3 separate regions of the Mus musculus genome follow, and all the other regions are reported to be linked to region 1. The links are microRNA targets in miRTarBase. Many come from high-throughput screens and were not tested one by one. Region 1 holds a microRNA gene; each other region holds the end of a gene's coding sequence.

Region 1 (3,150 bases):
TGAGTTCCGAGGCCAGCCTGGTCTACAAAGTGAGTTCCAAGACAGCCAGGGCTATACAGAGAAACCCTGTCTCGAAAAACCAAACCAAAACAAAACCCTCATGTCAAAAGGAGTCCCAAGGCAGCTTACGAGGTAGAAGCTAGGCCTGGCCAGGTAGTTAACAGGACAGAAACTGCCTCTCACCGGCTTTGAAACTTTGGGGTGGGGGTGGAGTCACCTGTTCTCTCTGCGTCTAGACATCTAGGATTGTGTGGGCGCTGCTACATTGTTAGTGCTTCCCCACAACTCAGGTGGGTCTTGAGCTCTCTCTTTCTACCTCTCCTCTTTCAGCCAGTCTGACCAACTTAGAGGTAGCCTTCAGCTGGGGCATGAATGCTTGGCCTAACAAAGCTTCTATTGATAGCAAAAAGACTGGTCATGCAGAATAGGCCAGGCCTCACATGCTTAGCATGCTAATTGTTCTTCCTACTGACATTAATGTGGGAATCACAAAGACCTGAGGTATCGTCCACTAACTCGTTTTCCCTACAGCTGGCCTGTAGTATACCATTCCTAAGGCTTTTTTATGTAAGTCATTTGCCCTCACAGTTTTAAAGTTTTTATCAGCAACCTGATGGCTCATTCATATGATTTTAGCACTTGGGAGACAGAGGCAGACTTGGGCTAGGGTACAGCATATCTTTAGGGGAGTGGAGAGGCTAAATAAATAACTTGAGTCCATAAAGTTATTACCATACATAAAATCATGAGTACCTGAGTTCAATCCCCAGAACCCGCATAAAAATCCTGGTGTGGCCAGGCATGGTGGTGCATGCCTTTAATCCTGGCACTTGGGAGGCAGAGGCAGGCGGATTTCTGAGTTTGAGGCCAGCCTGCTCTACAGAATGAGTTCCAAGACAGCCAGGGCTATACAGAGAAACCCTGTTTCAGAAAACAAAACAAAAAATCCTGGTGTGATGGCACACTTTAATACCAGATGGGGAAGCAGAAACCAAAGGATTTCCTGTGCAAGCTGCCCTAGGGATCCCAAGTTTAAAAAAAAAAAAAAAAAAAAAAAAAAAAAAAGCTACCAGGAACAATGCCTTACATTGACCTCTGGCCTTCACATACAAATACACCTGTGTTGACCCACATAAACTATTTGTTGCTCTCTACTGATGGGACTTTGGTTCTGCCATGGACTGATTAAGAATTAAAATAATCCCAGCACACAGGAGGTAGAGGCAGGTGACTGAGTTTGAGGTCAATTTGGTACTATATATGAGTATCAGACCATTTGAGGCTGCATAGTGAGACCCTATCTATCTTAAACTGAGTCTGAATGAGGGCCTTCCCTCATTCAGACAGCTAGCTGCTGGAGCCTCAGAGACCTTTTCTTCTTATCTGTGTGCTTACTACTTAAAGTCAGAGTCAAGTCTGAGTACTAGAAGTACAATTCGGGAGAAAATAGCATGCGTCAGTCTGGCCTCTGTATTTGAGACTGACCCTTAGTTTAGGATCTTCTAGCCTCTGCTTCCCAGGTGCTAGAGTTATAGGCATGTGACGTTATTCACACTCAGTTTATGTTGTGTTAGGGAACAAAGCTAGAAAAGAGCGTTATAGGCAACCACTCTACCGTCCTCAGCCTTTTGATAATCTTAAAACTATTTTTATTAAGCTGGTAATAACTGAATTTCATACCCCAGTCATTCTTCATAGTTTCCTAACTTCCTTTTGTTACTAGTTTTAGATCCTAGGAAATTGACCCAGACTTGTAAGCAACAGGAAACATGGCTGGGGCCTCCCCTGTTCGGTATGAAGAGGCCAGTGTTGTAGCTTGAGATCCAGCCTAAGCCACACTTACTGTTGCCTCTTCCTCAGGCACAACGGGAACATCCTTCTGGACGCAGAAGGTCACATCATCCACATCGACTTTGGCTTCATCCTTTCCAGCTCACCCCGAAACCTGGGCTTCGAGACATCAGCCTTTAAGCTGACCACAGAATTTGTGGATGTGAGTCAAAAAAGAGAGGTGCTTCCAAGGGTAACTGTGTTCTTCCTCTGAGAGGAGCTGATGGACTCCCCCAAATTAGGAACAGAACAGAAATGGCAATAAGTCAAGACGAGGCAGGATTGCCTGGGAGCTTATGAAAGAAAATGTGGAGATAGTGATAAGGAAATTTACCATGATTACCTTAAGAGAGGAAGCTCTGAGGCCTACAGAAAGGACCCACCAGAATTTCTCTGTGCACACAGACACTCTCCTTGCTTCCAGGTAATGGGTGGCCTGAACGGTGATATGTTCAACTACTACAAGATGCTCATGCTGCAAGGGCTGATTGCTGCTCGGAAGCACATGGACAAGGTGGTACAGATTGTGGAGATCATGCAGCAAGGTGTGGCTCAGGAGGGCCCTGGCCTGGGGGACTCAGGTTGGGTTGCCTGCACTTAGAACTTTTAGGAAGTTGAACTCCACCTCAAGACTTAGGTGGGGGAACATTTCTCAGGGGGTCTCCATTTCCCCTTTAAAACATTCTTCACCCTGGCAGAACTGGTTTTGGGGGTGGGGCAGGAGAAAAGGAACAGCAGAAAGCTCTTAGGTATCCTCATGGGGAAACAGCCACTTTCAGCCTCCTGGCTTTCCCATTCTCCCATTCAATTGTATTTCTCAGTCTTCTTCCTTCTCTGCTACTTCTACTCACTTCTCTCCCATCACACTTGGCCTGACTGACCTGACCTCGGCCACTACCACTTCCTACTAACCTCTGCTGCTCTCATTTTTCCTGCCTCTCTTTTCTTTCACTTTGCCTCTTCCTTGGTCCCTCAGTTTTTTTGCACAGGACTCCCTCCTCTTCCAGTTCCTCTGGGACCCTTCTATCCCCCCCACCCCAGATATTTACCCTACCTAAGCTGCCAGTCTCCTCCTCCCCATCCTTGCCCCTACCCCACAGGTTGCCGTCGTTGCTCGGGAGCATCTCTGTCTGGCCCCGTGGTGACGGTGGCCCAGGTCATCTGTGAGTGTCTGATCTAGCATAGGCAGAGGCCTGCAACCAGATAAGTGCAGGGCCCATTCCCAGAGGCTCTTCCCAGCCTTCCCTCTGGGCCCAAAGACATCTCTCCAATGCTTACTGGGGGAAGTTGTGGGCTGGCTTGCCTTTTCCTATCATGCCC
Region 2 (3,000 bases), not on the chromosome of region 1:
TGAACACAGCCAAGACTACAGCCAAGGACACAGCCAACACCACAGCCGTGACCACAGCCAATACCACAGCCAATACCACAGCCGTGACCACAGCCAAGACCACAGCCAAAAGCCTGGCCATCCGCACTCTCGGCAGCCCCCTGGCAGGTGCCCTCCATATCCTGCTTGTTTTTCTCATTAGTAAACTCCTCTTCTAAAGAAAACTGGGGAAGCAGATCTCCAACCTCCAGGTCATCCTCCCGAGCTCATTTCAGGCCAGTGCTTAAACATACCCGAATGAAGGTTTTATGTCCTCAGTCCGCAGCTCCACCACCTTGGACCACAGACCTGCAACACTAGTGCACTTGAGGGATACAAATGCTTGCCTGGATCTTTCAGGGCACAAATTCCGCTTCTTGTAAATACTTAGTCCATCCATCCTGCGTGTAACCTGAAGTTCTGACTCTCAGTTTAACCTGTTGACAGCCAATCTGAACTTGTGTTTCTTGCCAAAGGTATTCCCATGAGCCTCCTGGGTGTGGGGGTGGGGAGGGAATGATCCTTCTTTACTTTCAAACTGATTTCAGATTTCTGGCCAAACCTACTCAGGTTGCAAAGGACTTATGTGACTTATGTGACTGTAGGAAAAAGAGAAATGAGTGATCATCCTGTGGCTACTAGCAGATTTCCACTGTGCCCAGACCAGTCGGTAGGTTTTGAAGGAAGTATATGAAAACTGTGCCTCAGAAGCCAATGACAGGACACATGACTTTTTTTTTCTAAGTCAAATAAACAATATATTGAACAAGAATACCGAAATGTGCTAAATTGAAAGATAACCCTTAATGAGTGATAAAATACAAAGTGTTACCTAACTTTGTTTTTAGAACTAGGAATAAAAGTGTGTGTGTGTGTGTGTGTGTGTGTGTGTGTGTGTGTGTGTGTGTGTTTTCAAGGACAGATGCAAGGTTAATTTATCTCAGTTTTGTTTTGTCCAGTCAAAGCTGGTCATTTCTTCCTTGATGATAATTTATACCAGGAAATGGGCCAAAAAAGAAAATGCTTGTAATATTTATAGTACAACGTGAAACCAAAAAAAAAAAGTTATTTCCAACAATAAGCCTGTAATAAGAAATAAAAGTTTTCCTTTAATAATTCCTTTTCTATACCGTCCAGGACCCAGGGGTGAGCACCACCCAGCTCAATCATTAATCAAGAAAATGTCCCTCTGCTTACATTCTCTCCTCCCAGATTACCCTGGCCTGTGTCACGCTGACAAAAGTCTGACCAGCTCACAGTGTGCATAAGGTCCCGCATAACATTAGTCTCTTCTCTGTGCTGAGTCTGTTAGCTGCTTTAATGTGTGCCTCACGGGCAAGCCTCACCAAAATGTGCTATCTTGAGAGTCGCCTGGTTATTCTGTCCACTTTTAAAGATAAGTCTGAGGGGTCAGAGAGCTTCTGAAACCCCTAAGCACAGAGCTAATACCTGGGCACAGCAGTCCTCCCTTTGCCCCAGCTCTCTGGAGGCTGGAGAAAGGACTAATGGGAAGTTTGGGCACAGTCTGGTCTTCGAGGAAGTTCGAGGGATACATAGCAAGACCCTGGGAGGAGGGAAGGAGGCAGGAAAGGAGAGAGAGGCCGCGGAGATGGGGAGAGGCTGGGCAGGAACACAGTCCTGCTGCAGATGCTTGGTTTCCACATGTACACCAGGATTTGAGTCCCGTCCCGTCCCCCCGTCCCCCCGTCCCCCCGTAGCTGGCTGAAATGGGAGCCACCCCTGCTTCCTGGAGTGTGGAATGATGACAGTATCGTTCACGGCAGAAGCAGTAACTACAGAGTCAACTGTAGCCCTGATCACGCAGCCTCTCGGCGTGTGTCTTTGATTTTTCTGGTAGTCTGTTGTTTTCTGAATGGAGACAGTCTTGCCTTTCATAAACTTTGGTCATTTTCAATCCACATTTCTTTGCTCTTTCAGCTTCCTTCTCTGTCTCCTTCTGAAACTCCAACTATAAATATGTCAGTGCGTTTGCATCCCAGAGACCATTTTTTTTCTTTTTTTCTTTTTTTCCTGCTCCTCAAACTAGATCATTTCAACTGACCTCTCTTCAAGCTCTCCAATTGTCCTGCCTCCTCAAGTCTGCAGGTGAACCTCAACATTATATATTATTATTATATATATTATATATATTACCTGTTACACCTTCCAGCTTCAAAAGTTCTATTTGGCGTCTTTCTATAATCTCTCTCTGCCCACCTCTATTCTGTGTGCAGAAACATTTTCCTGGCTTCTGGTCTTTGTCGCTGTTTCAGTCCCCACTTTGAACATAGTTAAGATGTTGACATCAAGTCTTTGCCTCTTAGGCCCAGTGGCTGGTCTTCCTTGGGAACAATGTCTGCTTCAGTTTTTTCCCTTTGTAAATTTCTGTTGTAAACTGGGTGTTCCGACTATTACAGTATCTTGACTCTGGAAACCTGATTCTCTCAGTTGTACAACTGCTGGTGTTGACTGCTGCCACTGAATATAACTGCAGACTGCATTCTTTGTGTGGCCACAGAGTTTTCTTTCCTGATTTCTTAGCAGTTAACCAGTGACCTTAAAGATTCTGTTAAATGCCAAATTTAGCATTTTTGCCCGATAGCTGGTTTTTGTGTTTGTTTGTTTGTTTGCTTGCTTGCTTGCTTGCTTCTTCTTTGCTGTTGTTGTTGATAATAGATTGCAGAATTTTTAAAGTTTTGGCTGGTGTTGCCATCTTTATGGCTGGTGTGGTGGAGAGACCAGTACTTGGAACCTCTTGTTCCTTGGTTTCTCTTTTCTCACCAAGTGCTTACTGGTAGCCCTGCCCGGCCCCTGAACAAGTATAGACTGTACATGGATCATCTCATTCAAGCCTTACACCAAGCCAGGGGTGGAGATGCATCTCCAGGTTCCCAGCACTCCAAAGGCTAAAACGAGGGGATTGCCATGAACTTGAGGCCAGAGTAGGCTACATGGAATACCCTGGGCTACAGTGCAATACCT
Region 3 (3,000 bases), not on the chromosome of region 1:
AATCGTGTGGCTGTGCTTGAAAATCAAAACAAGACCCTCATTGAGGAACTCAAGGCCCTCAAAGACCTTTATTGCCATAAAGCAGAGTAACTGTGTTTGATTTGGACCTTGTTGACTGTGAACTCTAATCGGGGCAGGCGATGCAGCATCCTCATAATGGCCATGTGGACTTGTAGATGGGTCTCTTAACCCTTGCTTAAGAATACAGTCTGCTGTAGAGTGTGAATTGGGAATACTGTTCCATGGGTTGGAATGCAGCTCCCCTCACATTACCAAGCTTGCTCTATTGCCAATAGCATGCAACATATGTTTTGTTTGCCCTTCTGCTTCTACTTTTTTCAGGGAAGCTGCTAAAGAATGTCGACGTCGAAAGAAAGAGTATGTGAAGTGTCTTGAGAGTCGAGTCGCAGTGCTGGAAGTTCAGAACAAGAAGCTTATAGAGGAGCTTGAAACTTTGAAAGACATTTGCTCTCCCAAAACAGATTAGTAGAAATATTTAACTATGAACTGATTACAGCATGTACAGTTGCTTTTGAATGCAATACAATATATAGCCGGCAAGAATTATGGCTTTTTCCTTTGTATCATTCATCTAACTTTCTAAAACTAACATTCCTAAGATGCTTTGTTGTATTTAATTTGCTCTTACCTCTAAGGTCAATTTTTTAGAAGAGACAAACTGTAAAAAATGTATGTAACAAATTCTTAAAATGAAGTATTTGTAAGACTTGTTCCAGTGCAACATATTTACAGTTCCCAGTCTCTCTGTCATGAATAGTGTCCTATGCAATAAAAATTTTGCAGGTTTTAAGAATCATTTTAGGAAAGGGTGATCAAAGGCAGTGCATCTCTCCAGTAGTAAGATAAAATCAACCCATAGAGATACCTCAGGAAAGAATGAAAGGAAGTGTATCCTGATGACATGACTACGTGAGAATAGCCTACAAATGAATTTATGCATTTATAGATTTTTATAATCGTCACTTTGTAAAGAAAGTATTGTATTGCTGTCCTTGGGTGCCACAGTTGAAGACAGTTTTAAATAGAACCATGTTGGTTGCTCTTTGTACTATTTGGTATTTATTTAAGTATCTGAGCATTTACTACAGCTTCCTACTATGTATGTAGTATGTGAATTTCTACAAAAGTTTGTGCTGCTTTGCTGTTATTTAATGAAAGAGACAACATATTTTCATTATCTGGAATGAGTTCCACAAGTATGAATTTATTGCTACACTGGATCAGCAGCCTTGCAAATACTGGGCCATTTCATTAGAGGACAACTGCAGGGCTCTAGGAGCAGAGTTCAGTGTGGAGCACTTGCCTGGCATGCTACATGTTCAGTTGAAAGGGAAGACCTCAAGCTCTGCAAATGGAATGGGGTCCAGGGGAAGAGGTTAGAGGTTAGCCTTTGTGCTGTACTAGGCTTCTTGCTGATCGTCTGGAGAGTTTCTGCTGATGACCCTCCATTGTGAATTCTTGCAACCTCAGGAATGTTAACGTTTAAAAAACAACCCAAGATGTCATTTTTGATTTTACAACTTGGATCAATTTTGTTTTGCTCTTTGGAATATAGCTGTGTACATTTGTCACGTAGGTTTAGGCTGGCCTTAAACTCACAGTTCTCTTGCCTCAGCCTTCTGAGTGCTTGGATTACGGATGTGGGCCAGAATATCCAGTTTGATCAAGTATTCTTTTATAAAATATTACTTTCTTTTTAATTGCCTGTGTGTATGTCTATGTGTATGTGAATGTGGGTTCCCAAGAAGGCCAAAAGCTCCCCTGGAGCTAGAGTTATAGATAGTTGTGAGCCTTCCAACATGGGTGTTGGGAACTGAACTCAGATATTCTGCAAGAGCAGCACATGTTCTAAATGACGGAGCCATCTCTCCAGGTCCATGATAAAATATCCTTATGCCAGAACATTCAAATGAAATTCATTACAATTGTGATAGCTTTGTTACTAGTAGCGTCCATAGTTGTTTTTATAAGGAAAAGACTCAAGGTATAAGCTCGGATCCCTAACCCTGTGCTATGTCATCTTTCTCTCACCAGCAGGTACGGATTAGACAGTGGGCTATAGTCGCTGCATTGCCTATGGCTGATCTCTGATTTGTTAAGAACCTGCCCACCTTCCTTCACTGTCAACAGGGTTGATAGTGGATCTGGTAGTGGGTAGGAGGTGGTTTGGCACCCAGTTACCATTTCTTTATCTTTAACTTTTCCTTACCTATAACTTCTAAAATGTAGGTCCTGGTTTTGTTTCTGTTGCCACAATAAAATGCTCTTGACAGAAACAACTTAGGATAGAAAGAGCTTAGTTTAGTTCACAATTCCAGGTTGGATAATCCATCAAAGCATGGAAGTCAAGGCAACAGGAATTTGAAATAGCTGGTCACACACACACACACACACACACACACACACACACACACACACACACACAGAGAGAGAGAGAGACAGAGACAGAGACAGAGACAGAGACAGAGAGACAGAGAGACAGACAGAGGGACAGAGAGTCCGAGAGACAGGGAGAAAATGACTATGCATACCTGGTTACCAGCTCATTTTCTTACACAATCCAAGACTCAAACCCAGTGAATGGTGTGTATCTATTAACAGAATCAAGGTAACTTTCCACAGACATAAGCCCATAAGCCAACCACATCTGGACAATATTTCATTGTGACTCTCTCCACAGGTGAATCTAGACTGTGTCAAGTTGACAATTAAAACTCACCAGCAGGGCTGGTGAGATGGCTCAACGGGTAAAAGCACTGACTGCTCTTCTGAAGGTCATGAGGTCAAATCCCAGCAACCATATGGTGGCTCACAACCACCCGTAACAAGATCTGACGCCCTCTTCTGGTGTGTCTGAAGACAGCCACAGTGTATTTACATATAATAAATAAATAAATCTTAAAAAAAATCTATAAAACTCACCAGCATAGGAACTAGAGAGATGTCTCAGGAGTTAAAAGCACTTGATGCTCTTTCAGA

The links. The annotated mature microRNA mmu-miR-7013-3p reads CCACACUUACUGUUGCCUCUUCCU and lies in region 1 at 1,834-1,857, shown strand. An mRNA with a match to its seed (bases 2 to 7 or 8) in the 3' UTR can be bound and repressed. Matches are read on the target gene's strand: a 7mer-m8 pairs with bases 2 to 8, a 7mer-A1 pairs with bases 2 to 7 and ends in A, and an 8mer does both.
Region 2: the mRNA of Plet1 is a reported target of mmu-miR-7013-3p. Seed matches in the 3' UTR shown: 7mer-m8 at 879-885.
Region 3: the mRNA of Crem is a reported target of mmu-miR-7013-3p. The part of its 3' UTR that is shown has no 7-base or 8-base seed match.

What each region holds. Positions count from the first base shown.
Region 1 is chr3:95,002,380-95,005,529 of GRCm38, forward strand. It overlaps Mir7013 (microRNA 7013), which reads left to right and starts at 1,789; the gene lies at 1,789-1,860. It overlaps Pi4kb (phosphatidylinositol 4-kinase beta), which reads left to right. Exons shown (of 11, transcript NM_175356.3): 9 at 1,861-1,993; 10 at 2,255-2,375. It also overlaps a transcript of Zfp687 not described here.
Region 2 is chr9:50,504,349-50,507,348 of GRCm38, forward strand. Plet1 (placenta expressed transcript 1) reads left to right here. Exons shown (of 4, transcript NM_029639.2): 4 at 1-1,291. The coding sequence ends at 197. Plet1os (placenta expressed transcript 1, opposite strand) reads right to left here and starts at 457. Exons shown (of 3, transcript NR_040714.2): 1 at 273-457.
Region 3 is chr18:3,265,075-3,268,074 of GRCm38, reverse strand. It overlaps Crem (cAMP responsive element modulator), which reads left to right. Exons shown (of 9, transcript NM_001110859.2): 9 at 343-1,721. The coding sequence ends at 487. Among named protein-coding and RNA genes, the nearest start is that of Crem, 61 kb to the left of the region's middle.